Linked DNA regions of Lepisosteus oculatus. The protein of the gene in region 1 purifies or fractionates together with the protein of each later gene. This does not show direct contact. Links are inferred from orthologs where the notes say so. Each region holds a gene or a part of one and is shown on either strand. Other genes may lie near its edges.

Evidence for each region.
Region 2: the proteins of exoc7 (region 1) and exoc6b purify together in Homo sapiens (affinity purification with mass spectrometry; 3 studies listed by BioGRID and IntAct, with this or other methods). This does not show direct contact. The link is inferred for Lepisosteus oculatus from reciprocal best matches to the Homo sapiens genes EXOC7 and EXOC6B.
Region 3: the proteins of exoc7 (region 1) and exoc6 purify together in Homo sapiens (affinity purification with mass spectrometry; 4 studies listed by BioGRID and IntAct, counting the BioPlex papers as one, with this or other methods). This does not show direct contact. The link is inferred for Lepisosteus oculatus from reciprocal best matches to the Homo sapiens genes EXOC7 and EXOC6.
Region 4: the proteins of exoc7 (region 1) and exoc8 purify together in Homo sapiens (affinity purification with mass spectrometry; 4 studies listed by BioGRID and IntAct, counting the BioPlex papers as one, with this or other methods). This does not show direct contact. The link is inferred for Lepisosteus oculatus from reciprocal best matches to the Homo sapiens genes EXOC7 and EXOC8.

What each region holds. Positions count from the first base shown.
Region 1 is NC_090704.1:43,129,472-43,137,242, reverse strand, and holds the start of exoc7 (exocyst complex component 7), read left to right. Parts: upstream 1-4,757; 5' UTR 4,758-4,899; coding exon 4,900-4,959; intron 4,960-5,435; coding exon 5,436-5,501; intron 5,502-5,967; coding exon 5,968-6,152; intron 6,153-6,701; coding exon 6,702-6,807; intron 6,808-7,130; coding exon 7,131-7,353; intron 7,354-7,771. Other genes in the region: protein HID1b, read right to left, coding at 358-507, 2,408-2,473. UniProt on the Homo sapiens protein: Component of the exocyst complex involved in the docking of exocytic vesicles with fusion sites on the plasma membrane.
Region 2 is NC_090696.1:2,756,353-2,763,248, reverse strand, and holds the start of exoc6b (exocyst complex component 6B), read left to right. Parts: upstream 1-3,880; 5' UTR 3,881-3,930; coding exon 3,931-4,019; intron 4,020-6,896. UniProt on the Homo sapiens protein: Component of the exocyst complex involved in the docking of exocytic vesicles with fusion sites on the plasma membrane.
Region 3 is NC_090699.1:23,699,252-23,707,022, reverse strand, and holds the start of exoc6 (exocyst complex component 6), read left to right. Parts: upstream 1-4,766; 5' UTR 4,767-4,801; coding exon 4,802-4,899; intron 4,900-7,771. UniProt on the Homo sapiens protein: Component of the exocyst complex involved in the docking of exocytic vesicles with fusion sites on the plasma membrane.
Region 4 is NC_090697.1:55,327,697-55,335,076, reverse strand, and holds the start of exoc8 (exocyst complex component 8), read right to left. Parts: upstream 3,017-7,380; 5' UTR 2,874-3,016; coding exon 819-2,873; 3' UTR 1-818. Other genes in the region: DNA-dependent metalloprotease SPRTN, read left to right, coding at 3,526-3,839, 4,899-4,998, 5,701-5,829. UniProt on the Homo sapiens protein: Component of the exocyst complex involved in the docking of exocytic vesicles with fusion sites on the plasma membrane.

The DNA.
Region 1 (7,771 bases):
TCATCCTCTACTTTTAAACTGCAGTTTGAAAATCAATAAAACAAAATCTATAAAAGTTAATAAAACCCATCCAGTGCTGACTAACATAGGCCATTGACTACTATAAAGTCTGCTTTCGGTTCATTTCCTGCACTCCAAAAGTGTTTGGGAGAAAGCCCTTCACTGCCTTGCAGGGAACAGACAGCCTCCCTTTCCACAGCCCAAACTCAGACACACTTCTCTGCCAGCCTGGGTGAAACCCAGCACCACTACATCTCAGTGCAAATCAATGATCTGAACCATGGACATCGGGGCTCGTTGATTGTTGCCACCTGTGCCCAGGTAGAATGCAGACAGCTGCCCCCAGACATTCAGTACCTTGTAGCAGAGGGTTGCCAGGTTTGAGGGAGACTCCTCGCGAACCGCTCGGATCTCCGCTGCTGGCACCAGGGCAAACACATCCTGCACTGAGGTAGCCGTGTCAGCCCAAAACTGGTCCCAGAAGGCGTCGTCGGTTGCCTCCACAGGCTGGAGTAAAAGATCCCCCCCAAAAAAGAAGAGAACATGAATTACACTTCCCAGAAAGAAAATGTGCTTTTACATAGAAAGTAAACCAAAAGAAAGAATTACCCCTTTTTACCAAGATGCTAACCAATGCAAGTGACAAAAGTATGACTGTATACACCATAAGGACACCCCCCCCCCGATGGGATGCCAGTCTACAGCAAAGCAGACAGAAAGACAAGAGCACAGACATACCCGCTCACACCTAGAGCCAATTATCCCAGAAGTCAGTTAAAGTACCAATACAAAAACATAAGCAATTTCTAAGGGAAAGAACCATCTCTGGATCTGAGAACTTGTGTAAAACACACAGGGGAAGAAGTACGCTGGAAAATGGAAAGGAGAAACGCAATCTGTATGACCTGAGGAAGTCTAAGTCCCTGCAGATGAAATGTCTGTTTCTCTTTTCTTAACCTTTAATTATTCCTTTGCAGCCAACGCATGGTGACGCCGATCTCCACTGAAACATACCATACAGATAATTGGTTGGCTTCACTCACCAGTAACGACACCACACGATGAGTTTTACACTAAGAAAAACTTTGATATAGATACCGATTTATGCATTTTTGATTCGGTAAGATACAAGTACGTACAAATATTTGTTCACGTAACAATCTTGAAAGGCACAGATTAACGAAATTAAATCATTTATTATTTTTGTGTGTCCACATCAGAATAGCGAACAACAACCTAAGATATTCGTCTCTAGAAACGGTGAATCGTGTCTAAAGCTTCTGAGTCCCCCCCGAGGTGAAAGCGTTGACAGTCAAATTGAGATTCAAATAAGAAAAAAAAATGTAGACTACTCAAATAATAAGCCTGAGTTGTATCACTCAGTTTGTACATACATTTGCATGAGACGATAGAAAAACAATCGAACAGCAAACTAACCTACTTGCCCGAATATTGTAGCCGCCATAACATCTATAAACAGTATGTCATTGCTTATTCTCTTATCTCACTCAGTCCACCTTAACCAAGCACCTGCCGCTCAGGTTTGCGAGATTAAAACACGTCATCAGTACAGTAGACCTCAGAAGCATACACGACTGTCTTTGAAATTACAGATTTAATTTAAACAAATATCAACACACTACCCTCTTTACTGGCTGACTTCAGTGCTGTTCTAATTTCCTATTTATCGTAAATCCACGAACCCCTGTCTCAGAGTCCACCTTGAAACACCTTCACCAGGTGTGCGCTCGCTTAACAGAAAAACCTCGGTATATGAAAATTAATAAATGTACGCGATCAATCGGTGATTTACTAGTAGAAACCCGCATGCGAAGTGGGAAAAAAAGACCAATCTCCCCATCGTTTATCGAAAATGATTTCCCAGGCCCATCAAGCTCTTAGGAATAGTCTACTACTAGCTACCTAGAAACAGTAACTAGCTACCTCTTTATTTACCGATGGGGGTGCGGGATTTTTTAATTCATTTTCACCCACACACAACGCATGCAAAATCCAGATTTTGTAGAGCGACAATTATAACAGATTGTATACAACGGTAAAATCTGTTATTTACATCTTTTTACAACCCATGTCAGACTGCATTTATAATAAGCGATACCTTTTACAATATGAAAGCAGAAAACGCACATAATTTAACAGAAAACGCCACAGTTTTTATTTCACGTTGTGTTTAACGCGCCCGATTACTGTGAAAACGCGTCATTTATTTATTTTCTTCAAAGAAATCCGTCTGCTGGGCTCGTCTGATCCATCCTTTCTCTGATGTTCGTGTACCATCTGGTCCCGTTTTCCTCAGTGCTTTCCATCAACCCAGCGTTTCAGGCTGCATATGTGAGCCGACAACGCTGCCTCCCTTTTTAAACGCATCGTTCCCCGTGTCCTTTACCTGCGTTTTAGTTGTGAGCTGTATTACGGCTTTCCTGAAGTTCAGCTTGGTGTCGGAGTTCCCCATTTTTTTTTTCCTCCCCTCGGGTGTCAAGACAAGCCTGCCTGTTTTGATCCCTAAATAATCTCTCTCTCTCTCTCTCACCACCCTCCCTCCTCCTCCTCCTCCGGCTCTCTCGCTGCCAAGGCGATGAATGAGGTGGGAGCAGGATCCAGGATGAGGGACTTCCGGGTTCCAGGCTTTCATGTGCACGCTCGGCGCTCGAGCAAGGCGCACAGCTCCTCCAGGCGTATCAACCTCCACTGCGGGACCCCAGGACGCCCCTTCAGATCCTACTCTCATTGCTGTGTCAACAAGTGCAAGTAAACATCAATTTATCTACCGCAATTCAAAATAAATACACATATGGGCATAGAATCCGGTGGTTGTGAAGTGTATAATCCTCGCTGGGTCAACCTGTCATGTTAGATTACTTTTATCAATAATCATATTATTACCCCCCACCTTACCGACTGTATCGATACATTTTAATGACACTAGACGCCCTTTGACATGTTTTTGGAATACAGCAAGCGGTTCCCGCCCCCATGTCCAGGAGAGCCTCTCTCCGGTTACTTTGATAAAATGCGCTAAGGCTGAGTGCGATTTTTTTTTTAACGCATTGCGATGGAATTGACCCACTTAATCCACTGACTACTGTAGGCGTTTAAATTATGCAACAGTAACTTCAATAGTATAAATGATATACGTGCAAAATTACTGCTCAATCGCCCGCGACTAAAATCTCTCATCCTTCATATCACAAAAATAATTCCTTACACTGATATATAACGCTTTTTCTGGACACTTCAGTCAAAGCGCGTTATATGTAATGGGGCCTCCCCTCCACCACCCCCACCAATGTGGAGACCCCACCTGGATGATGCCTTATCATTAATGACATCATTAAGTCAACAAGCTCGTGACTCTTGTATTCCATATCTTGGGCACCCAGTTTACCACGTGCCAGGGCACTACCTGTAGCTGAAGCATTCTTTTACCTTCGCATGGGGCGCAAACAAACAATTCTAAAATCTGGGTGTATAGTTTTCTCTCAGCACTATAATGATACAATTTCTCTTTCTGTTCTTCTGAAGCTAAAAGAAGATTTTGAGCCTGTGAGCCTGGTCAGTACCTGGGTGGGAGACCTCCTGGGAAAAACTAAGGTTGCTGCTGGAAGAGGTGTTAGTGGGGCCAGCAGGGGGCGCTCGCTCTGCGGTCTGCGTGGGTCCTAATGCCCCAGTACAATGGCGAGTCCCCATTACCTGTAAAGCACTTTGAGTGGAGTGTCCAGAAAAGCGTTATATAAGCAATTATTATTATTAAAAAAGAAATGTTACACTTTGAGTAAACAGTAAAATTAAACATTAGATACTTTTCAGATTATTAATCATAACACTGAGTTATTATATGCCATGGAAGTGTAAAACACAGGACTATGTAGGTAATACCCAAGTTTTCCCAAAATTCAGTTTAATTCGATTACCAGATAGATTCATATTTAAACCGTTTATTCTTACATATTATTTGTGCCAACAGTATCTGTATACCTATACATAAAAGTTGATGTCCGTTTAAAAAACGCTGTAGTTCCGTGAGCAACCTATGGGCGCTTGTTAAAATTAAATACTTCCTGGGCACTCAAACTTTGAGAGAGTCATCGAGACAGATGCTTCTGTAGTGTAAGACACTGCATAATTAGAATTTACCAGGAATAGCCTTACCAAAGGTTTATAATCGCCCTTTAAAAAAGAGCACAATAACATTTTTTTCCCCATTTATCACAATCGATATTATCAGGCTATTCGGTAATTGGACAGCTGTGATTGTTGTACTCTAGTTCCTAACAAAATAAAGGATTATCTTAAAAAATTAAGCGCTGTACTTTTAAGTTCTCGTATTAATGGCCATCCTACAGCGACACGATGTGAGGGGAACAAGAATTGCATTAGGTTTATTTTGTGGTAAACCCCAACACGATAAAATCACCTTGAAAAATTAGAATTTATATTATATAAGACGACAACTGTACACGGAATAATGTATTTGTGTTTAAACAGAAAAAAAACAACCAAATAGTATGTCCATAATCATTAATTCAAAGTGATTTAAATGACTTCAGTTCAAAATATTAATAAAGTGAGACTCTTTTTTATTGCAGCATTCACTAATCCCCTAACAAAAATGTTTCGCACGCAACAATTTTAGAAATAACAAAAAATTCTTTTCAAATGCAATTCTTGCCACAACCAAAATGAAGGAAACACCGGACCGTACGGAGAGGTTCTGTACTGCCTTGCTGCCAACCGGAAACGGAAGAAGGTCGAAAGAGAAAAACAGGAAGCAAAACCTGTTAGTATGAGTAGGGGTTCAAGTGCATTTAATTGTTAGAATCAAAAATATAAACACTAATACTTTACTTTAATAAGGACATTAACCAGTCATTTAGCAGGATGATTCCAACGGAGGACGCATCCTCTAGGAAGAGAGAAATAGAAGAGAAACTCAAACAGGTTTGTAGAGGATCAACGGCACTTTTAGAGTATTTTCATCTGTTCACAGTCATCTTGAAGGACTGTGATTCATTTTCCTTTTTGGATATAAAAAAAAAACATTCTTTGCCGACATTAGTTTACGCATCTGTGTGCATTCCAAGTTGTATTAATTGCAAAAGTTCATTGTTGTTAATGGTAGTACAGTATGTGGAGATTTCTACTGTCAAAGCATAGTGATCTCTAACGCTTGAGCTCGGAGGCGGCCACACCCCTGTACAATGGGGGCTTTTTAGATGGTTTCAGTCAGTGGTTAAAGATCATGTTCATTTTGACTGTTAGTTGGCCTAATTAAGCAATTGAGAGACAATGGTTGCAGTTCAAACAAGAATACCCATTGGTTCCTAACGGCCAGGGCTGGAGCCCTCTAGGTACAGAATATAAGGTGTGATTAACATGCTTTCCAGCACCTCTGTTATATTTTTACCCTTCGACAGGAGCAGGACACGTTGTCATTCATCCGTGAAAACCTGGAGAAAAGTGATCAGCTGACGAAAGGAATGGTAAGAAAACCGTTTAGATCAGTGATGTTCTCTCCTGGTTGTGTAGGACTGCAGGGCACCAAGTTTTAACTTGTAATCCTGAAATAGTAAAAATGTAGAAACAGTGGCTATACAGATGGACGTAAAGCCAAACAACAATGAGGCTCTCCAGTGCCTTATATGTTTGTTTTTAACTTAGACTTATGTGGTTATCCCAAGGTTATACAGTCTGATTTTCTGGGTTGGTGTGGAATTGCCTTTTGGTAACAAAGCAGCACTGAAATAATTTGTTGGATTATAGTATACTGGGGGTGTCCATAGTATTCATGGTCCTGTGGTCCACTGGATCTTTCAGGTTTCATAGTTCTTTTGATTTGTCTCTGAATAAGAGTGGGTAGGATAAAAAAAATGAATGCAACTGCTTTTGCAGCTTCGACTCTGGTTAAAGACCTCAACCCTCTCCCTACGCTGCCTCGCTGTTCTGCAGGTTTCCATCTTGTCCTCCTTTGAGAGCCGCCTCATGCAGCTGGAGAACTCCATCATACCAGTGCACAAGCAGACAGAGAATCTGCAGCGGCTGCAGGACAACGTGGAGAAGACTCTCTCCTGCCTGGACCACGTCATCAGCTACTACCACGTGGCCAAGGACACAGACAAGATCATCAAAGAGGGGTGAGGCGTGGTGTCCAGCATGAGGAGGGGCTGGGAGTGTTCTGGGTGAACCAAACCCACCGTTCCAAGATAATAATAATAATAATTGCTTACACTTATATAGCGCTTTTCTGGACACTCCACTCAAAGCGCTTTACAGGTAATGGGGACTCCCCTCCACCACCACCAATGTGCAGCCCCACCTGGATGATGCGACGGCAGCCATAGTGCGCCAGAACGCTCACCACACATCAGCTATCAGTGGGGAGGAGAGTAGAGTAATGAAGCCAATTCATAGATGAGTAATTCTTTCGTTTGAATGGAAGGAAGAAGCCTTTAACTTCATTAAAAAGCGGTAGTCCACTACCTGGGTAGTTATTTGCAATTTGCAAGAAATCACCAGATAATGCGATTTAATTTAATCTAGGTCTTAGTCTGCTTGCAAAAACATTAATAAATCTGAATACTGAAAGAGTGTGAAAATAGTGTTGGTTTCACTTAAATCGATGCAAAACAGGTGCACGTTTTGAGACTGCCAGTTTATTATACTCAGTTAAGTGTGTGTTTCAGCCCTACAGGCCGACTGGATGAGTACCTTGCTTGTATTGCGAAAATCCAGAAAGCAGTGGAATATTTTCAGGACAATAACCCTGATAGCCCAGAGCTCAACACAGTTGTAAGTCCTGCCCCTTTTTTGAATCTAAACACTGTTTTTATGTGTTTAATATTACAATTTGTTCATGTCTCTTTTGAATCTGAGTGATTTCTGTACTGTACTGAAAAAGACAAGATGTGTATTTTAATGCAACACCTATTTTGTCCGTTGCTCATCTTTGCCAGCTCTGTTACATGAGGTCATGATTTTAAGAATGTGAGGATGAAGCTTTTCAATGGCAGTACCTCCTAAGCTCAACTGTCCTGATAGACTGATGCACATTCTTAAAAGGACCTTTGTTAAAGAAGGAGTTTGGTTTTACCCTGTCATCTTCCCTTCCCCAGAAAGCGAGATTTGAGAAGGGGAAGGAGCTGTTGGAGGCTGAGTTCCGGAGTTTGTTGACCCGCTACAGCAAACCTGTGCCGCCCATCTTGATCTTGGATCTGATTGGAACCGATGAGGACCTGGATGTGCAGGAAGAGGTCACACTGGAGCACCTGCCTGAGGCCACACTGCAGGATATCATCTGCATCTCTGGCTGGCTGGTAGAATACGGCCGCAACCAGGGTACCCCACGATTGTCCTGGAACTCTTTCACTGCATGCAGCTTCAGTATTGAGTTTGCACTGTATGGAGGGAATGTGTGGTGAGGGGTTGTAGTCATTAAGGTTGCAATTCTGTTAACTCATTTATTTTTATCTTAAAAAGCAAATGATAAGAAAAGCCTTTTCCCTCAAAAAAAAATCTTGCATACGTTGTAATTAAAATGTATATTCCTTATGGCCTAGGACTTTAAACTTTTTTTTAAATGATGCCCTTTAAACTCTTTAAAAGGCATCATCAGTCCAGCATGTTTTCAATTCATTGGCTTTTTAAGGCCCATGAAGAATTTTTATTGGTCTAGTTGTGCCTTGTTTAGAGCGCAGTGAAGTTGGCACCCCTACGAATAGGACATACAGTTAAACCCACAGCCGTTGTTTGTGCT
Region 2 (6,896 bases), on another chromosome or scaffold:
AAGAAGAGCCCTGGTCAATCCGAATTGCACCCACGCCTGGTGATGCTCAGCCAACTGCGTGCCACTAGGGAGGGTCTACAAACTCCTTTACACCTCTGATCTCTCTGCCTGGCCCACTCTGAGTAGTGAAGAGTCCTGTCATACCACCATTGTCCTCCAGAGGGCCTCCTCTGTCGCTCTCCCAGCGCAGAACAGGTCGCAGTCAGTGAAGAGTCAGGAGGCAGTGCCTCACATGGGCAGCCTGGACCGCAGGACCTTGGTCCCAGACTTGTAGGTCTTCTCCAGCGTGTCATGGGATGGCCTGGTCATCCTACAGTAGACCCACAGGTCAGACAGCAGGTCATCCTGTCTGCAGGCGCTCGCCATGGACAGGGAGTGAAACATAAAGACAGTGCCAGTGGACCATGCTGTAGTTTCCCCTGACACCTGAGGAAGTGCTCCATTATTTACTTTTTATTCCTCCTCTAGACAGGCTGAAAGTCAGACTCTTGAACTCTACATGAAACACAACACCGCAAAACAGAACACAGTACGACTGATTACACCCAGGAGGAGGCTGAACCTTTCATTTGAACCAGCAGGAAACCATCAGAGTTGAGCTGTTTTGGTAGACTAAGACAGGAAAAGGTCCATGGTGTAATTTAATTCCAGATTGCTGGCTCTGGTCTCCTGCAGGGACTGAGGTCTTCATCTCAGGGTCTCGTTTCCGGGTGCGAACATGCACAGAGTGGGCCCTGCCTTTAGCGCTGTGCCTGGTGAGCTGAGCAGTCCTGGGCTGCACCTCGGCCGTCACGCCAGACAGCAGCCGGAGTCCTGCTCGCAGAGGGAGGGACAAGAGCCAAGAGCATCGCAGACTACAGCCTTGACACCTGTGGCTTGAGGTCATGGCCTTCTCAGTCACCAGCTCTGAGCGCGGTCCAGCGTTTACTGCAGGATTCCAGATGCTGGAGGAGCATGCAGGCTGTCCTGCAAGCTCATGGTGGCCTAATGCCCTGCGGAGTGACTTTACATGGGTGCTTCCATTTGATTGTGTAGTATCTGTAAGGAGTGCACGGCCTTGCCACTGCTCTGATTCTGTGACTGTTTTTCAATGCATGGAGTGGTGTTGTTCGCCCCATGATGAGTAGGGATACTGTACCATGAGCCGATCCAGGCTCCCGTGAAGCGTAGTTCAGGACCCTCTGCAGATGGTATAAACTGGAAAATAAGTGGAGAAGGACATCAGGGGAAGGTACAGCAGGGGTGACAGACAGGGGGTGGTGACAGTGGTGATCCAGTTTGGGGGACGTGGCGAAGGCAAACAAGTCCAGGGAAGTCCAAAACGGGAAATCCGGGGTGCAGTCCAAAATCCCAAAACTGGGTGATCCATCCAAGACAAGACAGGGTTAAAATCCGGAACATTATCCGGAACAAGAACAAGGAGTTAAAAGAGAGTAACGAGGCCAGGTGCTCCGAGCCCCAGACTCAGACGGCCTGCCCTTGGGCTGCCCGCGAGCCCGGGGAATAGCCAAGCCTTGTGGCGTCCATCTCCCAGGGCTGAGCCGGGGACAGCGTGAGCACCAGGCTTGAATAACGGGGCACAAAACAGGGGGCAGGTGCACATAGTCAACTAAAACGCCATGAAGAGGAGGGACCCCGATCGTGACAGGTACTCAGTACTCAAGCTGTGCATGGAATCTGAGCATTTACAGTATTTCCCTTAAAATGCAGAGTTTACCCAGGCAATTGTAGGGGCCCGCGTCTTCCAACACCGAAGGGCCTTGGTGCCATGCAGAGGCCACGATGTACCAGCAGCCCTGAGCAGGAGAAGCGAAGCTCCAGGCGAAGCCATTCCTTCACTTCAATGAAGAGGGACCGTCCGAGAGGCCCAGTGGGAATCTCAGCTGGGACACTGGGGTTGGCTCTTCATAACCTCTGACCACTGAGCAGTCAGGCCCTCTGTTTCACACCTCTCCCTTGGGAGACACTGGAAAGCTGTGTCAGCTGTCACCATACCCTGTCACCTACTGGACCCCAACACCACTTACAGCTGCAGCCTAGCTTTCCTTTTCCTCCCTAAACCTGCTGGTTTGCAATAGTTGAAATACAACCTCCAACAAGAGCTGGGAAAGTCAAACAGTGAGACAAGGAAGTGTCCAGTTCAGGGACCAGACTGGGAACCCCTGTCCTAGTCCACTACAGTCTCTGCTCTGCCGAGATTACGGAAGGTGACAGGGCTAAGACTTCATTTCCCTGCAGTTCGAGGGCAGATTCCTCGTTCACAGTGAGCTCCTGTGTGAAATATTGATTCAGCACTTTCGCCATTTGTAAGGCCTTGCTTTGACTGCTTTGGCCCAGCTCTTTCCATTTCATTTGCTGGGATAGTACAAGAAAATGTCAACTTTTGCTGTTGTTTTTCAGCAGCCAGTGAAAAAGAATCTCTCGCTCCTTCACTATCTGCTGCCTTCAAACTGAAAAGCTTAGATTTTGACCTGTCTGGTACAGGTTTGATCCCAAAGCAGAAGAGGTTCCAGTGGCCGGGCGACTCTCCTCCTTCTGTCCTCCTCAGCGCATTGACTTCACTTCTCTAACAAAGGGCAGAAAAGCCGTCAGCGTGTGACTCTCGCTTTGATCCTCCTTACATCTGAGAAGGAAACATGCAGAAGGACAACAGGTTCCACAGGCTTTGTCTCAGGAGAGCAGGTTTGAGTCCTAGCGGATTGTCTCTGCCGGTGATCACACTGGGAGGTAGCCAGCTATGCAATGTCGTTACTGTAATCTGATTCCACGATTCTGACTGTGCAAATATTGTCTTGTTAAATCTTTTTTGCTTGACAGTGCCCTCGTTAACACAGCAGCTTCCTGATACTTATTTACGTGGTTGGATGATGTACAGTAAATGGTACATTTGTTTTCAATGGTTTTAGCGGTTTAATAACGGATTATTTTTTATTAGAAACGTAGATACATTTACAAAAGAGAGAGTCATTCAGCCCAACCAGCTCGTGTTTTATATAACTCATCAAAATTATATTTATAAAGCACTCCAATAAAGTTGTTAAATTTAGACAAAGGGAAATTAGTTTTAAGAAGTAATGCATTACTCCACATAGTACCTGTAAACAAACTACATAAACCAATATCTATGAAGACTGCAATTCTTCACACAAGTTACCTGTAATTGTAATAGATTACTCTTTAAAGTTGCTTTCCGCGACACTGCCTGCTCCTGACTAGAGTTCTCGCCCGCGTACAAATCGACCAGCGTTTTGCGATGTTCGCTACCGCACACGTCGAAGTACAGGCAGGTGCTGTACGCACCCTCGCCGCTAGGCAGAGACGTTGGCTCGATTTTTCTTGGATGAATGGAAAGGATTTCTTGTGATCGTGAAAAAAATATTTAAATAATGTTTCATCATCGTAAAAGAAATCAAGGAATAGAAATACGAATTAAATCAGAGAACAGAATTTTAGAAAATGGAGAGGATCATGGAAAGGATTCCTAATATTAATTCTGTAATTCAACATTTCAATGTAAAAGTTTGAAGGATATCACATTTATTTTTACAACGCATATTTTTAACAAACCAGCATTCTGCATGAATGTATTTCTTGAGAGCATTTTCCTTGAAGAATAAAAACTTACAAATACAGATATCACGTTTCGTGTGTGTGGGTTGTTTTTTTTTATAACATTAAGTATCTTTGCACGGGTCCGCCTATTGTAGAAAAGGCAGCGAAACTCAATTTCCCATAATCCATTTTTATCCCCCCCCCCCCCCCCCTAGTCAGAGCACTCACGGGAATTGTAGTCCTTGACCCCAGCTCATTCCATGGGAGATTCCTTAACGTTCCCCCTCCGTAAAACTCTCTTTCCCAGAGTCCCCCCCTCGCGTGGGATGGTTTGTTTTTCAGGTGACGCAGCGGAGCGGCGTTACTGGGACATGGAAGATGGCGAGTTTGGAGATAGCTGCGGAGCACGAACGAATCCTGCGGGAGATCGAGAGTACGGACACCAACTGCATCGGACCCACACTCCGGTAAGGACCAGCGGGGACCCGCCGGGGCGCAGGGCGGGCTAGCAGGTGCCCCTCGGGGTTGGTGAGGGCGGCGGAGCTCAGAGCCTCCCGGTATGGCTACTCCCACAAACTCGGAGCTGCCCGAGGGAGTCTCCCTGAATCAGTCTCTCCCGGAGACTTCTGGAGCGCTTCTGCAAAGTTGTGGATCCGGCAGCCGCTCATATGGTCTCGGCATTGCGGTCCCTCCCGGCCAGTGTGCCCCTGGCGCTGGCGGGGAGGGCAGTGCAGGCACGGAGCGGCTCTTCAGCTGTTGGACAGCCTTGACGGGAATCAGTGCTGCTCACTGCCTCACCCCCGCTGTGCTGCTTCCTAAAACTGTCCCGGTGCCGGGACCAGGCGGTCCGGGAGCTGAAAGCGCTTGTTTGCTATGCTGATGGAGCTCATCCCTTTTTGTTTCTTCTGAAAGCCTGGCTACGTTCCTCTCCGAAAGGTGACTGGGGCGTGTGTGGACATGGGAAAATCTATTATTAGGTGTGTACGCTAAAATAGCCGCTGACGAAAGTTTCTTTGCGCTTCACTGCGCTGCTCACCGGAGCCAGCCGCCCCAGACAGAGCCCCCTTCTGCCCTGTCCTCCTCTCTGAGAGTAAAACTGCAGGAATGAGGGGCTTTTATTAGTTGTACACTGTTAGCACTCGAGTTCGAACACCCAGACTATAGTCAGGCTGCTAACATGAAACGGTTTTGGGAAAGTTCTGTACGACCTAAAACACAGGCAGAAGGGTGCTTGTTTTTTTTAATTAAACTTTAACTGTGTGGTAGAGAGAATACGGACTTGAGTTTTTCTGAGCGAGGTGATGTAGTGGCTGTAGTCTGTGGGAGGTGTTTTCAGTCCTCAGAGCTCACTCGGGGTTGGGACCAGCAGGAAGGTGCCAGGCGAGGGGAGAGATCTGTCGGAGTCCGAGCTCCTGTGAGCTTTCCGAGTTGGAGATAATGACCATCGCTGGGCTCCGTGGTTGAATTAGGTCCAGCTCTTGGACGTCAGCAGCTCGGATTCGTGTTTCCGAGTCCTCTGTGCCCCTCGAAATGAACATCCGTTGGATAACACGATCATAAGACCAGTTAAAGATCAGCGTCAGAGCAGAAACCTGAGGCAAAAGTAATTACAGAATGAGCATGTCCTTATTCAACATGAGACACCTGACCTTTAGAAGGACTTTTATTAAGCCTCCATCACGGGCTCCTGTACTTCTACCTGAATAGTTTACATCAGTTGTCCACGGGGCGCTTGGGTTCATGTAGCAGATAGACTCCAAGAATGGGGCATCGGTTGATTTAGCCCGAAGAGGACAGAGGGTCAGAAGGGTTTCGGGACCTGGTGATGAGGCTGTGGTACTGGGTGTTATTTTGGGAGTTAACCCTCAGCCTGCTGCCCACAGCGCCTGTCCCGCTGGTTCTTCAGCCCCTGTCAGTCAGCTGTGATCTTGCTCCAGGACAGCGCAGTGGACCCGGAATGTTTTCATGAGCCCCTGTGACCCAGAGTCATGCCGGCGTTCAGTGTCATGTTTTGAGCTAACTCTGAGGCATGTCCATACAAATAGATATCGCTTTGAATAAGTGGCAGTGCTATAAATCCGATGATGATAATTTCATTAGGTCCTCCGCAAAAAGACGAGGAGTGTTCTTCGGTGGGATGAGCTGCGCTGTGGCGCAGTGGACAGCAGGGCTGCCTTGCGGCGCTGGGCCCTGGGTTTGGTTCCTGCCGTGCTGTCTGTGTGGAGTTTGTATAGTTTCCTCCCGGTGCTCTGGTTTCCTTCCGCAGTCCGAACATATACTGTTGAGTCGATTGGCAGGTTCGTGTCTGTCTGCCATGTGATGGACTGGCGTCCTGTCCAGGGTGTGTCCTGCCTTGCACCTGTGGCTAGCTGGGATAGGGTCTGGCTCCAGTGTGGCCCTCAACTGGAAAAAGAGATTAGAAAATGGAAGGATGGATGTACTTCAATGGGGAAGACAGTATGCGATAGCTGCAAACAAGAGATTCATGTTTTGAAAGCTTCTGTGATTGTTTGACTGCTGGCACATTTCCAGATCAGTTACCTGATCACTCTTTCTAGAATGATCATTTATCTAACGCATGCGACATGTCCAAAATGCCAGCTTTACTGGACACTGCAGTAGCCTGAAGTACAGTATATGAATATGCTGTGTTATGCTGTTGACACCCATCTTACTGAGCTGCACAGCAGAGATACACACAGCCCAGTCTATCACAAAGGAGAGGCTCTCACTGTGTGAATCCCAGGTTCTGGTCTAGTTTGGTTTTGCCTTGAAAATGGGCTGCTGGTCCTCACATGCAGTGCTGTGTGGAGTGAAGCAGTTAGAGAAACCCTGTGATAGGTTGTCACCTGTTCTGCAGGCACAGTAAAGATGTTTGAGGTAACTCAGCTCCCCTACATTAATCTTGCAGTGTTGCTTTAACACACAGGTGTTACAACACGAGAAGGGTTCCAAACAAGAGGACGCCACTCAGCCCAATTTGCACATTTAGTACTTAGTAGCTAATTTAACTAAGGATCTGCAGCTGTTTCTTGAAAGAAGCCAAGATATCGGCTTCAACATTATAGCTGGGTAGCTTGTTCCAGACATCCACAACATGGACTTTGACACAGTTTCCATCGGTGTCCTTTGGCTTGTGTTTCACTGCCCGTTCTAGAGAAGCTCGCTGGGCTGACTGTGTCAGGGCCTTTAGAATCTGGCAACTTGAATCAAGTGTTTTTTCTGTTAATCGGTCGTTCAGATTTCAGAGTCTGGATCTCACTGCTTCCCTTCTGAGCCTGGGCCCAAAAGTTTAACTCCTTCAAGTCGGTGTAGTCCTTCGACTACTGTAATGCTCGACTCAC
Region 3 (7,771 bases), on another chromosome or scaffold:
TGAGAGCTTTTTACCATGTTGCAATTCATCAGAGAGGAGACCTAAATGTTCCTCAAGTGCCTTTTTATTACACTGCCATTTGACAAAAACGACAATAGCTTTGCATACAAAACCCTTTCAGGGGGCTTTGAGTCTCTTGAGACTTCTGCGAGTGGAAAGAGTTTCAAAACAGGAAACGTACAGTGTCAGTGTTTGTTCATTTTCTTTTCTCAAAGAAGGGCAAAGAAGGCACTGGTGGAATGACCCAGCACCGAGATTCAAAGCAGACAGTGAGAGACATTTTAGTTTATTGATACCAGCTGTAGATTTACTGCATCTGTCCTGTCTAATAATGGGCAATCTTCCCCAATACATGCCACACTGCTGCACCAGTCTTTGCAATTCGAATGGTTCTATTTCCGATCCCTCCATATGAGAACAGTTTTCTCAAGTAAAGACCTGTGATACCAGTAGAGCAATGTCAAAGCTTTTCTCAAGAGTGAGCTCTAGGAGAATCAAAGTAGATGGGATCAAGCCAATAGGGGAATACTGAGAAGCTTGTGAACACCATATTTTAATTTAAAAAGCCACAGTGCATCTGTGCAATGAGGTTCTCACTTCAATGCATAGCCCACATGTTATCTTTTTAGCCACAATTCTTTGCTCTCTAATTCTTCAGCTCTTCTTTATTCCTCTTGTACCTTGTTCCTGTGTTCGTACTACCTCACACTACCAATAACAGACATTTACGTATGATGATCTCTGTTATTTGTCAATGACACTGTTTCAATTTATTTAGCACTTCATATGAGAAACGCTGTGGTAGCTAAGAATACTCTTCTTCAGACTCCCTCTTCTGGACGGCCGCTGTACTACGGCTCTCCTAAACCAAGCGGTCAAGCAAACACAAACAGACATCAGCACCTGGTAAGCGAAGATATCACGAAGCAAGAAATAATACGTTCTTGTATTTACCTGTCAGGTAGATTTCAAAGCTTTGATATTGATTCCAGACAGTCAATAAATGCAGTACACCTTAAATGGCCAGTAGGAGCCTAACTAAACTATCTAATCTCTAGATTGACAGGGAACACAATAAACTCTGAATTTAACTAACTGCAAACACTGAAGATGCAGGCCTGTCTCATTAAAGAGCAACTTAAGCTATCAAAACTGTCTAGGGTTTTGGCTCTGGTCACAGAACAAGGTCTGCACAATCTTAGAATCTCTGTTAAGATTAGTCAGACAGAGGGTAACACTTTGTCTAATAGTTGTTCCTTAATATTAATGAAGCCGACAGGATAGACTCTTGAGACGGGTTCATTGTTTAAGAAAAGGATTGTTTTGCCTGTTTGAGACAGATGAAGGATAAATTCAGAATGTGCAGAATGTAAATCAGATTTAGGAAAGACATCACATCAGATTAGTTTGAGATATTATTCTTTTGATCTTTCATTTTCAGTTTTAGACAAGAGCCATCAAACAAAAAGAGTAAAATATATATGCATTAATGTGATGTTTACATATGTACATGTGAAAAGAATAGATCGGGGTTTTCCCATTAATTAGAACATTTCTAATTGTATTCCCTATAAATGCAAGATTATTTTGAAAATATAAATCTATCAACAAAATATTTGAATCATGCAATGTACTGGGCGTTTTAATTTTACAAAATATTGTCATATGCAGACATATTTTCGCAATTATTATACATGCTCAAATAATATTTCTGAGTGAAAGGCTAATTATTTCAAATTGAAACTTCCGTAATCTGCTAACGCAGGTAAGGGTCTTTCCTCCTATTTCAAAGTGCCAACTCGTCAGTGTCAAGGCTGTTAAACCTTCATACTTTAGTTTGGTACCAGACACCTACTGCTAATACGTGAGGTTTAATGCTGCTGTTCAGGAGGCAAGACTGTCACGATCGGTTAGGATTTTGGTTCGATTCCTACTGGGGTCCAGATGCAAAAGTTGCTGTTATTCCTTTGTCTGCCTGGATATCCTCCACATATTCCGGTTTCTTTCCAAAGGATTGCGATCTGGGATATCGAAATTGTGTTTGTGGCCTGCGATGGACTGTCGTCCTGCATGGGTATAGTTCGGCTTTGCACCAGATGGTACCGGGATATCAACCGGGAAGACGCAGCCATTAGAGGGAATGAGTTAAGGATAACATCACATTTTTAAATTGTGACTCATGTGACAAAAGAGTGGCTAACATAGTTCCACAAAACGCCAAGATCAGCGTTTCATAAACTTTGAAACCTTTGAAACTTTGAAACCTCAAAGTTTCAAAGCTCTGAGACAGTGAAAGTCCAAACGGGGGATGGAAAGAGTTAACAAAAATATCTGCATCATTTATCTGATCAGAAAAGAGAGGGGGTTTCAGTTTCCTGTGATACCATAATCTGCGTTTCAGAAAGGTTTGGGGTGGTGGTGGAGGAGGAATGAGGGGAGAGGGGGGTGTGAGGAGAGTTGAAGCAGAAGAAGAAAGAAATGTTATCCACAGGCGTACGTGGAAGCCCTGACCTGCAATATTCAGGATTCGAGGATCCTGGCTTTACTGGGATATTTTTTCTTTGATTTATCATTAACGCTGACACTGTATCCGCCTGATAAATGACCTTTGCGAGAATGTCAGCACACGAGTTCCAACTTACAATACGATCTAGCCGCGCGGTGTTCCTGTGCTCCAGAAACGTTTCCTTTACACGCATGTCTTGTTTTTCTCGGTACAATAAGGAAACCCCCATTGTTAGGGCTTCTTTTGAAAATCAGTAAAATGTAGATTAAAGATAAATGTAAATTTGCTTACATCACCTACTCGGTTCTGTACCTATTGTGTAGTATGTTTTACAGTGAACAAAATCAAGTCATGTACATGTGTGTAAAGCATCAGACATGTTAGGGATTAAATACCAAATTTTATGAGGAAAAACGAATATACGCTTTTATAAAGTTTGGGGATTATACAGTAGCTGCCTCCCGAGGTTCATGTTTAATAACCATACAACGTCCATTTTGAAATTAAGTAGAAATAAGATAAGACATGCAAAGAAAATGTTGTATTTTTGAGAATAAGATTACTTTTAGAGAAACAGAAACGATTACTTATTCTCCTATTTCAGCACAATCCCTACAATGACAATGACTATGTTTTCTCCTAATTTTTGGATGAGTACATTTAAGAGTTAACTGAGATTTAAGATAGTTATTAAACAAATAAGCAACTAAGATTTTGATTCTTGGATTCGGAGGGTTGTGGATGACAAGGGCATTGCTTTTCCTTCTGCTGTGTGATTTTGCTGACCGCAGCAGGAAAGCTATCCAGCCCTCACCAAAACTCCTTCTCTTATTCTGAAAGCTCGCAATGGCCAACAAAACCATTAAGTCCCTATCACCCAGTGTCCTGGGGGAAGAGAATCGAGAAGATAAAGTGTATGAAAATTTTTTTGCAGAACTAGAAACACTTGGCTTACCTTTGGGAACAACTCTAAGGTAGGGATCTTAAACCCATTTTTAAAGTTAAAAGCAGGAAAGAAAAGTAAAATGCTAAGTGTGTGCTCGTGTCTGTTATTCCTGGAACTTAAATGGCAACTCTTTTCAACAATAGCCGCATTTAGGAAAATAGAAAAATAGAGTAAGAGTCACGGAATGGACTGTGAACTTCTGTGAAGTAATAATTAAACCGAATAAACTGTGGTGTTTCCTGGTAGGACGTTCGAACAAAAGTACGCTGTCCTTCAATTACTATCACTCTTAAACTGAGATTTTTCCTAATATTATATCCGCTATTGCGCATTTTTAAATTAAGAAAACGAACATGTTACGGGTTGTAGACTGTTGTACTCGATTCGGGTTAAACACGCTTCATTGAAATGTGTCTAAGGAGATCTATTTCGCCACTATTTTCCCTATCATGTTTAATTATACCAAGGGACAAGTATTTTTGTTGTTTCTAACTGACTAGACCATACTCTTACAAGAACAATGTACTGTTTATTTCTCTTTTCTTAGTAGGTAAATGTATTTCTTCCCAAGGGATTGGAATGGAACTTTAAACATTAAGATAGCATCATTTAATCTAACCGTACTATACACTGAATACAGAAATAAGGAATCCTCTTGTGATCCATTTTTTTGTTCTGTGCTACATATTATTTTCACCGCAGTGGAGCAAGGCGAGGATAACTCCACACTGTGAAGTGAAAAGAAAGACGACAAAACCACAAGTTTCGTGTGTGATGCCATATTCACACACCTGAAGTACTCAACATCTAGCACATTGTGTTTTCTTTTCCTTTTACGTCGCAGAATGTATTTCTGTTCTTTAACGTTCCCAGGATGTTCTTTTTCTCCAGAGCGCTGTTACTTGAGTAAATAACATTTTATGAAACGTTAGAGTATTTCCAATTTGAGAGAAAAAGGGTGCATATGTGTGAGTGCACGTCACTCTGAAAAAAAGATCATTTAATATGATGCCAATTTACATGAGACAAACATTAATAAATACTGTAAGGTAGCCCTGTAATGAAAACATTCAACAACCAATCAAACGAAGCATAAGTCTTTGTTTAAATGGGAATGTTTATTTTCTGCAAACGTGAATCACCATGTGTATGGCGGTCCATGATTTTATGTTTGAAGCAGGTAAGAACACATAGGCTACATACTCTGAACATGCTTAATCCAGCAAAATCAATTCTTCCCCTTTGGAACACCTGCTGCCAACTTCACCGCCGACTCGCCCCCTAGCGCCGACTAGAGGCAGCACTCTCGTTCCCCGCAGTGTCACTTTGTCACCGAGAGCACAACAAACATGGCGGAGACTGCAACCTTGGAGAGTATCACCGAGCATGAACGTATCCTGCAGGAAATCGAGAGCACAGACACTGCCTGCGTCGGCCCTACGCTTCGGTAGGGAGAGAAACGTTTTGCCGTGCTCACCTTCGTTGAATCATAGTTGTAATTTCTACCTAAGACCTTGCAAGTGTATTAATTTAGCGGCCGGGCCTTTGTTAGCTATTGCTGCTAACCAGCTGAGCTTCCTGAACTGCGGCACAAGCAGTCGTCTGCTTCTTACTTCCTAGTTTGAAATAAATACTAATGCAATTAAACAGCACAATGTCTCGTTACATTTGTATACTATGTTATCGATTTATGTCTGTATACTTAAATAGTGCCAACAAAACGATAACCCGATAGTTATTTTAAGAAATAAGTGTTAGGGATTTACAAAACTGCAAATTGCAAGAGTAGGTAGTGTTTAAATGAAAGGGAGTAAATGCATATAGGCCATAGGACCGTTGTTTCTGCATATAGCGGTTCAATATGAATTTATGTATGCTTGTTATTGTCTGAAATATACGATGGGAACAGCTTCAGTACGACTGTGTACATTTATCTTGAGAAATTCTGTAGAGATTATAATAATTTGGTCTCAGAAACAGTTATTATAAGTGGGTGTGGTGGGATATCTGAAGGTTGTTACACTACACAGAAAATAAACTGATGCTGTTTCGATAAGGGGTAGCGCTTGCTTGTGATCCCCTTCTCAGTATCCGTTCAGCACGATGTTGCTAGCGCGTGATTTCGCGTTTGGAGAATGTTGATTAAAAGCGATTCTGAATGCCGGTTTCTGAAGCAAAGCACAGATAGTATTAACTACGGCGTAATAAATATAGAAAAAATCTAGGTGGGACATCCATTCAACCAAGAAATCTTGACTGTAGCCTGCTTGAGACCTTCGCTCGAAACAATTGCAGAACAAACCACGGGTCAACTAATGACGGCAGACATTTTTTTTATTTAAAAAATGTTAAATTCCAGGAGGGTTAATTATACCTTTGAACGTGTCTTCTGAAGAACAAAGAAATATTTACGTCTAATTAAAATGCATAAGAAAGGAAGGGGGTGTTTAGGAAATTCAAAAAATCTCTTTTGGCATGTATGGGCATGTAGTGCCTTATAACGTCAAAGCTCTGCCGAAGCAAGATGAATTAAGGATGGTACCGATTCCCTGTCCTATTTAGTGCATAATATATTGTATGGCATACCTTATAATAGTTCAAACGCACGCTTTTTTTTACAGTTGCTGTGAGTCTTCAGAGTACTGGCATTAGACGTTTTGCGTCACCTGCTGCAAGAGTTATTGATTTCATGAAATACACATACCTTTAAAAGCACAACGGATACACCATCTTTTGGTAGCTAACGAAAATGCTCATCGAGCAACTAGTTCATTTTACAATTTGAAGGCGGAAAATGTATTTTTGTGTGTCCCTCACTGAAGGGATCGTTTCTCCCATTCGTTTATCTGTGAAGTAGGTCACAATTACCGAATCGCCCTGATTTGTGGAGGCGCTCTGTGGGTTTCCTCTTAAGCACACTGTAGATCTGATTTTCAGTGTTGGTGCGTTAGATTTTTGTGGAGTTTTTCTGTTTCTCTTCCTTACTGGTAGGAGTTTCTTTTTTGTGGAAAAATTCTGTAATGGGAGTTTAGTGCTCCAAATGTATTATGCATTTTCGAGATTGTGTTTAAATGCACAGTAAAAATGATATAACCGTACCTATGTATCAGGCTTTACAGTCTAGCCATTGACATTGGCACAGCCAGTTCTTTCTGATTGTTCAGATGAGTTAACTCAGTGGTCTAGTGAAGGAGATGGTTTTCTCAGGTGCACTGAACTGTACTGGAGTGGCTTCAAGCCTCAGTATGGCTTTCACAGCATATTGAAAGTATATTGGATGGAAGAACAAAAAGCTAGTTTGAACAGCTTGACTCTGAAAACCTTAGTGTCATCGTTCGTGCATTGGCTGAAATGCAGTTGTTCTGTGGTACATTACAACATAACCATCCATCTGATTTCTAACTGCTCCAGCCAGTTCAGGATCACGGGGTATCCGGAGCCTATCCCATCAAGCAACAGGCACGAGGCAGGAAACACCCTGGATGGGATGCCTATCCATCAAAGGGCACACATAGACACAAACACAGATACACACACCACGACCAGTTTTGTGTATCAGATAGCACCCTAGGTCTGGAATTAAGCAGCAATGCTAATCACTGCACCTCCATGCCATAACCAGATTTTCCAATACTCATGTGCAAATTCAATTCGAATAGATTTAAGATTGTGTTAACCCCAGTTCATCCAAGTGAGACTTGCTAATCACTCCTCTTTCAGATACTGTTTAGCTCACTGTTAAATTCACCTTTTAAAGTCCTTAATCTTAAAAGGTTGCTTAAATCACAGGTGGGAATCTAATTGGCTTTGCGTATTGACTAGGGCAGGCCTTTTGACATGGAAATATGTAACACTAGCTAATCCACAGAGAATAACTGCCGTGTAGAAATGCTCATGGTGAGCACCTGCTGTACTGGGAGTGGAGGTTCCGGACAGAGCATTGCTCACAAGGATTGCATCAGTTCATAACTGCTGTGGTTTCATTGTGGACTGGGGGACTAAAATGTATCGTAATTGCATTGTTTAAAAAAACTGGTTTACAGTAAGGCCCAGAGATATAAAAAGAACCTGAGAAAAATAATAATAATAATAATAATAATTGCTTACACTTATATAGCGCTTTTCTGGACACTCCACTCAAAGCGCTTTACAGGTAATGGGGACTCCCCTCCACCACCACCAATGTGCAGCCCCACCTGGATGATGCGACGGCAGCCATAGTGCGCCAAAACGCTCACCACACATCAGATATCAGTGGGGAGGAGAGCAGAGTGATGAAGCCAATTCATAGATGGGGATTATTAGGAGGCCATGATTGG
Region 4 (7,380 bases), on another chromosome or scaffold:
ATAATCTCTTTTTCTGAAAATTAGTTCATATTTGTAAAGCGCTATGGCACAAGAGAGAGTTAATAATTTCACTTTTATTTCCATGCATTATATGCCATTTCAGGGTTCATGAAAATGAAAAGACTTAATTTGAGGTTTTGTTAGCCAATGAATGCTTTGGCAAAAATGAATTAGGCAATTTGTTTCTCCTCCATGCGGTTATTTGAAAAAATGTAAAAGGTTCTGACTGTTAGATGAATATTCCCTACAACAGGTATATATTCCAGTATAAACAGCTTGACAAGAAATACTTTTCAAAGCTGAAGAAATACCCACAGCAAGGGGAGGCTGGCAGACATAAGATTATTGTGATTTTAGAACTTTCTATAAGTGTAATTTACTCACCCTGGACACTTTCTGCCTATCAGCTCAGAGATGTCTTTTAAGGCAATTTTGTCTTTTTGTATTTTTATATGACATATATCCCTTAGCAGAACCAGAAAAGGAAATGAAATCAGCCTCACATGCTGTACAGAGATGAGTATGAAGTGAAAAGAAAAAAAAAATCAAAGTTCAATACAGCTGATGTAGCCATCTTCAAGAATTTAAGCAGAGAAAGTAACATCACCTTAACTGCTGTCATTCTTTTTTTTAAAGAAATTGCAAAAGCAATGACAGAAAATTAAACATAATAAGTTACATTTCCAACTGGCTAATGCTCACAAACTGATTCTCTTAGCAGAAACCCAGCTCCCACGACACGCGACCTGAGCAATGAAATCCCGCAATCACTGGAATTGCGCTGTGAAATTCTGTTCATGGGTTGGAAAACTGTCCTCTTACACTAGAGAGGTTGTACTATCAGGGTTGACGCGCATCATTCGTGACCCATTCCTTAGTTCCTGCAGTTGCTTGGCTGGCTTCCCCACTCCTTCTTCAAATCGCTTCTCCACCACAGGAAGGACCGTTTCGTAGAGGAAGGATGCGTTCTGAACGATAAAGGCTTTTTTCTCAGTCTCCTGCTCGCATCGCAGGCTGTAGTCCACATGCTGAACAGCAACCAGAATTATTTCCCGCAGGCTCTCCAGGAGCACCATGTGCAGCTCAGGGAAGTAGAGCTTCAGCCCTTCCTCCAGGAAGGCCATCATTTGCTTGGTAAAGGCAACGATGGTGTAGCTGAGATTTACCCAGCAGTCGTCACCAGTGTACTGCTCAAAGCTGCCCACCCCACAGTTGCGCATCTCTTCTTTCAATTTCCCTAGGGCCTCAGGGGTCATCAAGTTCATTTTGCGCCACATTTCCTCAGAGTTGCGGTGCTTCGTGGCCTCAATGATGATCTCCTTATAGCTGTGAAGGGCAGCTTTGATGTCTTTGACTAGGAGAGACTGGAGGGTGAAGGTGAGGTCCAGACCAATTTCACTTAGTTGCATGCAATGTTCCTTTGCGACCTTCACACACTCGGCAGCAGTGGAGAGGTTCTCCTTGCTATCAAAGACCTGCTTGCTGAAGGCATCCACAAACATCCTCATGGCTGAACGAGACCACACCACAAATGCGGAGTAGCACCCAGTGTTCCCAGCAAAGTCCATCTCAAACTCCTTGGCGGTCTCAAGCAGGCTGGTGAAGAAGATGTTGCAGAGCTTGTGTATGTACAGCAAGGTGGCACCCTCGATACGCAGCTGACGGATGGCTGTTTGAACGGCAGCTGCCCTGTTCTTCAGGAAGAGCTCACAGGCCTTGGTGGACTGGCCCAGACGGATCAGCTGGGAAACTGCGCGCCGTGTGGCTTTGGGGCCACCCCGCAGGGACCGGTCTGGGGAGAGCTCGAATACCAGGACCTCGGTCAGCTGCCGCACCCTCTCATCTACCTTGACCCTCAGCTCCTTGACGGCCTGGTTCACTGGTTGGTCTTTCAGGTACTCATTCAGCTTGTCCAACAGGTCTACAGCTCCTTCAAAGTCACGCTGTGCAATGCAGACATCTAGATCCTCTGGCAACTCCTGAATCCATTCTAAGCTCAAGTCCACAGTCTCCTGCAAACCCATGGCCTCTTCCTCATCAAAAGGGTTGTTTGACACTTCTTGTCGCACTGGGGAATTGGGTGTCTCCTCCTCTTTCTTGTGCCTCTCCTTCACTGCCTTATTTTTTTTGGTTTCATCCAGAATCTCCAGCCACTCTTTCTTAATCTTACTGTTCTCTGCCTGGAAGATCCTGCTATCTGGAAACATCAAGATTTTGAACATGTCTTTCATGGGGGGGTTGTCTTTCACATTGACTATAGCAAAGCTGTCCAGGTCGTACAGGGCGTTGTACTTGTACCTCACTGCACCCCGTCGGTTGGGAAGCCAAGTAGCAATGAGAAGGCAATCATTCATCAAAAAGGCATGAACCTTTTGGATTTGGGACATGTTATCAACATCATATTCCAACAAATCTCCGTTATAAACTAAATACCTTCCAGGGGTCTCCATAATGTTTTTACAGCCCTCTACTTTCTCCAGAAGTGTTGTTAGCGTTCTCTGCTTTAACTCTTCGGTTTCCTTCGGGAAGGCAGCCAGCATTTCCTTCGCAGCTTCATCTTTGTCCGTGGAGAGCAGCGTCTGAGTGATGCTCTCCATTATACTCTTCTGTTCGGTTAGAATGTGGCTGAGCTGATACATTTCGCTCTCCAAATAAGAAATTTCTTTGGCAGTCTCGATAAACTGTCTGTAATTCTTGTAGACATTCTTCTTGAGGTTTTGTGCCGTCTCATCTGCCAGATTTTGTATTTTTTGCCTGTGCTCTTGCAGGTCTCTGTCACCATCTGACTGCTGAGAGAGCTGCTTAACATAATTCTGTGGATCGAAATTTGGCGATTCCAGTTGCTTACGTAGTCTGTTTGCAGTGTCTGCCATTTCCCTTTTCACAGTATCACTAGTGAAAAAAAAACTCGTCAGGTTTATGTTTATACTGCGTGTCCGAATTATTTCACGGAAACAGCCGGAAACCTCTTACAATAACAAACTGACCAACTCCCAGTGAAATCATAGGACCTTCTTTTTTTTCTGGGTGGCCAACAATGAGGTGCTCTACAAAAAACAGAATTCAATAATTTAATAAAAATATGGTTCCTTGTGTAATAAAAAAAGAAAAATAGTTTAATAATTCAACAAAAGTGTGTTTTTTTTCTTAAAAATTCAGATAATCTCCCATTATCATATTTTTTGGAATAAATTTATCACCATGAACTCCGAGTAAGTACATAGTAGGACAATGATATACAGGAAGAAGACGAGGGAGGGTAATCGTATCCCAGCATGCAGTTCAATATAGCAGCTGTTCATTTTTTATTCAACATAGGTGGTTGGTTTTATACACTCGGGCTGTTAAGTTTGTTTTTTAAAGATAAGATGTTACACTTTTATGTGAATAGCAATGATTTTATGAAACTGCCGTCATGTCTTCATTGAAAAAACACAAGAAATAGAGATGGGGAAAACTAACTTTTTTTTCACTTTGACGATAGCTAACTAGTAATTAGCTTCAGTGAACAGTGCTAGTATTGGGATGTCAATGGACGAGGATTTCTTGCTAGCTCTTCAGTTACAGGACCAATTTGATCAAGAAGCGTCCGTCTCCATCGTTGACGACGATGACGATTACGTTCAAAATAAGAAGAGGAGAGTGGAAACCAGTGATGAGCTTGTTACTTACCCTCGGTCCTCTTTTAGACCTGAGAGACCGCTGTCCATAGTGGACGAGTCGTGGGAGATGCTGGACCCCAGCCCCGATGTCAGGGCGATGTTCCTGCAGTTCAACGACATGTTCTTCTGGGGCAGACTGGCCGGGGTGGAGGTGAAATGGAGCCCACGAATGACACTGTAAGCCACCCAACTTTTCCGTTGCTTGGGAATGACATCCAGTATACCCTGGAGATGCTCCGCTGCCACGTTTTATATTCCAACATGATGTTACTGCATTTCATAGTCGTTCCGCTAAGTACCCGTGATAAATAATGTCGAACAGATTCATACCCCACGTTTATATTTCAACATTTCAAAAACTGTAGCTAATGATAGATTTAAACTCCTTTAAAAAGAAAGTAAGACTTTTTTTAAAGAGTTTTATTAGCAGTTCGATCCATGTATGGTTTTGTGAGCTTTAAAAATCTACCGAGTATTTTTTTGCTCTTCTTATGTGCATAGATAATTAAAATACTAAAATTATCTGCTTTCTGCTTAATCCGTTTAAATTGTGTGGATGATTGGCGTTTGTAAAAGTCTGCCACATAGTTGGAAGAAGTCTTATCTGATTCTCATGTTGTGAATATAACGCTTATATAATTATATAATATTAAATATTCCTATATCTATTGTATATACAGTACTATATATTAGTATTACTATTATTGGAGTGGAGCGCACTTTAAGGCACAGTAGGACAAGTGTTAAAAATTAGGCTAGCTCTTGAATAGTCTTGAATAGTCCTGAGTACTTCTTGATATTTAGTTTTCCAGATATTTAGATTCGTAAACATTAGACTGTCATTTCAAAAGTTTTTTTTTCCCTTCTCATAAAATACCCTAGTTTTTTGGGGGAATGACGGAGTTATACAAGTTGAGGCTACTGCTATTTACTCAGATGCAGGGGTAGACATATTTGTATTTGTATGCAAGTCTGATCCATTTCAGATTTTGTGAGCTGTATGCTTTTGATAAATGAAACTGATGACACAAGTAATCAGATATGCATGTGTGTGTAAACAGGGTATTTAGAATTTATTATTTCCAGTTTTGTCTCTGCAGTTTCCTTAAATAAGGTGACAAGCTTTAAATATCCTGCAAGATCCTACCCTTCACGGAGCCTAAAATCTGAAATGGCTCTAACTGCTGTGAAGTGGGAGTGCGGGATGGTTTGAAAGGTGCTGTTTTCCTGCCACAGGTGTGCAGGTGTGTGCTCATACGAAGGGCGAGGAGGCCTGTGCTCAATCCGCCTCAGCGAACCGTTGTTGAAGCTCAGACCGCGGCGGGACCTGGTTGAGGTCAGTCCTGCCGGTCTGCTGCATCGGCTTGCGTTACCTGTGGAATTTCCAAGGCTAAACTAACAAAGCCCCACAGTCTTGTGCCCTTGTTCTTTATTTTCTGAATTTCTGAATTCTGAATTTCTGAAATCCAGTAACTTTTACTTAGAAGTGAATGAAAGGACAAGTTGAGTTTGTCGTTATTGCCAAACAAGTTAACTGAGCATCAAAAGAAACATAAGCCTTACAACTGCAACCCTTACCATCAGGTGCACTGATATTTTATTGACCAGGTTGTTAATGCTGTCTTGTGCAATTGTGTCCCATTACTCTGAAAGAGCCTAGACACACATCACTGGGCTGGTTCACTGGTCTCTGAGCCCTAGATGCCAAACTTTGTCCCAGCTCATCCAGCTGGTCTTTAATGGGGCTCACGTGAATCCAGGATGCATTCAGTTTATACTTTCTGAGCCCTCACCAGTCTGCATATACTACCACTCTAAATTTCCTATTAAATTCCTACATTCACTGTATTACACACTTAAGTGATTAAGTCAAGGCATTTGTTTGCAGTAGGTAGTAAATACGCATCTCCCTCTGAGTTTTCAATGCTGTCACATGTCTGGAAAAGTGTTCAGTGCACTGAACTTAAGAAAGTAGAAAAGGTTATTTTTTTAAAAGTTCATGACATGAGTATGACTGAATATTTGTGTTTTTTTCCAGACGCTCTTACATGAGATGATCCATGCGTTGCTTTTTGTCACTCAAAATAACCGCGATCGGGATGGACATGGACCAGAGTTCTGCAAGCATATGAACAGGATCAACAAAGCCAGCGGGACCAACATTACTGTAGGTGACTGATGGGGAAGAAAGCACTTTTTATATAAGAACAACATTAGAGTTTGTTTTTCAAAAATAAAAATCAGTTATTTAAAAGGTCCTTCAAATTATTTCAGTTTTTTGTTTTGCGTTAACACCACAGTGAGGTTTTGTTCTTAAGTCATAACGTTGATTTTTTTTCTTGAACAAGTCTTGGATTTATTTAAACCCCAGCCCCACTGAGGAGGGGAGAGAACAAAAGTAAAAACAAAAGAGAAAGAAAAGAAAGAAAAACAGGGAGCAAAAGGTACTAAGACAATCAATATGAAACATCAGATATACGAGCAGTGTCCAAAGCCAACATTGTAGCAAAAAGTACAGGGTGCTGCCAAGCTTTCTTTCTAGAAGCAAATTATCATGTAAACATCCTGACCAAACACAAGAAAAAGAAATCAGGCTCTATTACATATCATGCCATAGCCTTTTATGCTGCAGTTATCGCTGCTAAGAAAACTAATTTGTAAAGCATTAAAAGTCAAGAGCATTGAGTTATTTCATATCTCAGGAGATGGGGGATGATATTATCCCACATATAGCTCAACACAGACCTCACATATTTCCAAAATGTATTAAAATGTGTAAAATAAGTGCCCATTACCCCAGATATAGAGAGGCAGGGAAGATCTGTTGAAACTCATCTGACCTCTCTGTCTATGGTAACATAGGCCCTGTGGATAAACATGGAACTAATAAGGTGGTGTGCCAGGTTTTTGGATGATGATGATTATAATAATCCTTACAGGATTACAGAATTTCAAGTGGCTGCTCTGCTCAGAGCACTTTCCAAGTAATGGAGACTCCCCTCCACCACCTCCAATGTGTAGCCCCTACCTTGATGATGTAATGGCAGCCATAGAGCACACAGGACACTCACCACACATCAGCTATCAGTGGGCAGGAGAACAGAGTGATGAAGCCAGTTCATAGATGGAATAATATTACCCCAGATATGACATGTGGCTTAATGTTAGTTTATTCTTTTCTCTTTGCTGCAAAACTGTCATGTTATGTTTATGTGCTTTATATTTAGCTCTTAATAAATCAAAGGAATATGTATATTTACTATAAATATATAGGAATATTCTATTTTTGCCTAGTTCTGTTGTGTATTATGCAGTTATCACTTAATTTTTTATTTTAATGTTTTTGAATAAAGGAACTACATTTTCTTCATATTACTTTATTGTTGGCTGCAATAGTATATAGAGTATGACATTTAAATTTGTTTAGGTCTGCACAATGCATTTTTCAATACATAACCATTATTTTATTTTCAGTTTTTTCTGATTATTTTAATGATCTTAAGCGATGCAATCATTCAGAGTGATTGTGAAGTTCTTGAACAAATATAACACACAAGGCTATCCTGTAAAGCTTCACATTTTTATTCATAATATTCACTGCTTTTAGGATGACATTTTCAAGTGCCTAGATTTATCCATGTCAATTTCAAAAAAGAGAGGAAAGCAGGTTTTACTTGTAAAACATGAGCTTCCAAGCAAGAAGACAAACTGCAGCATT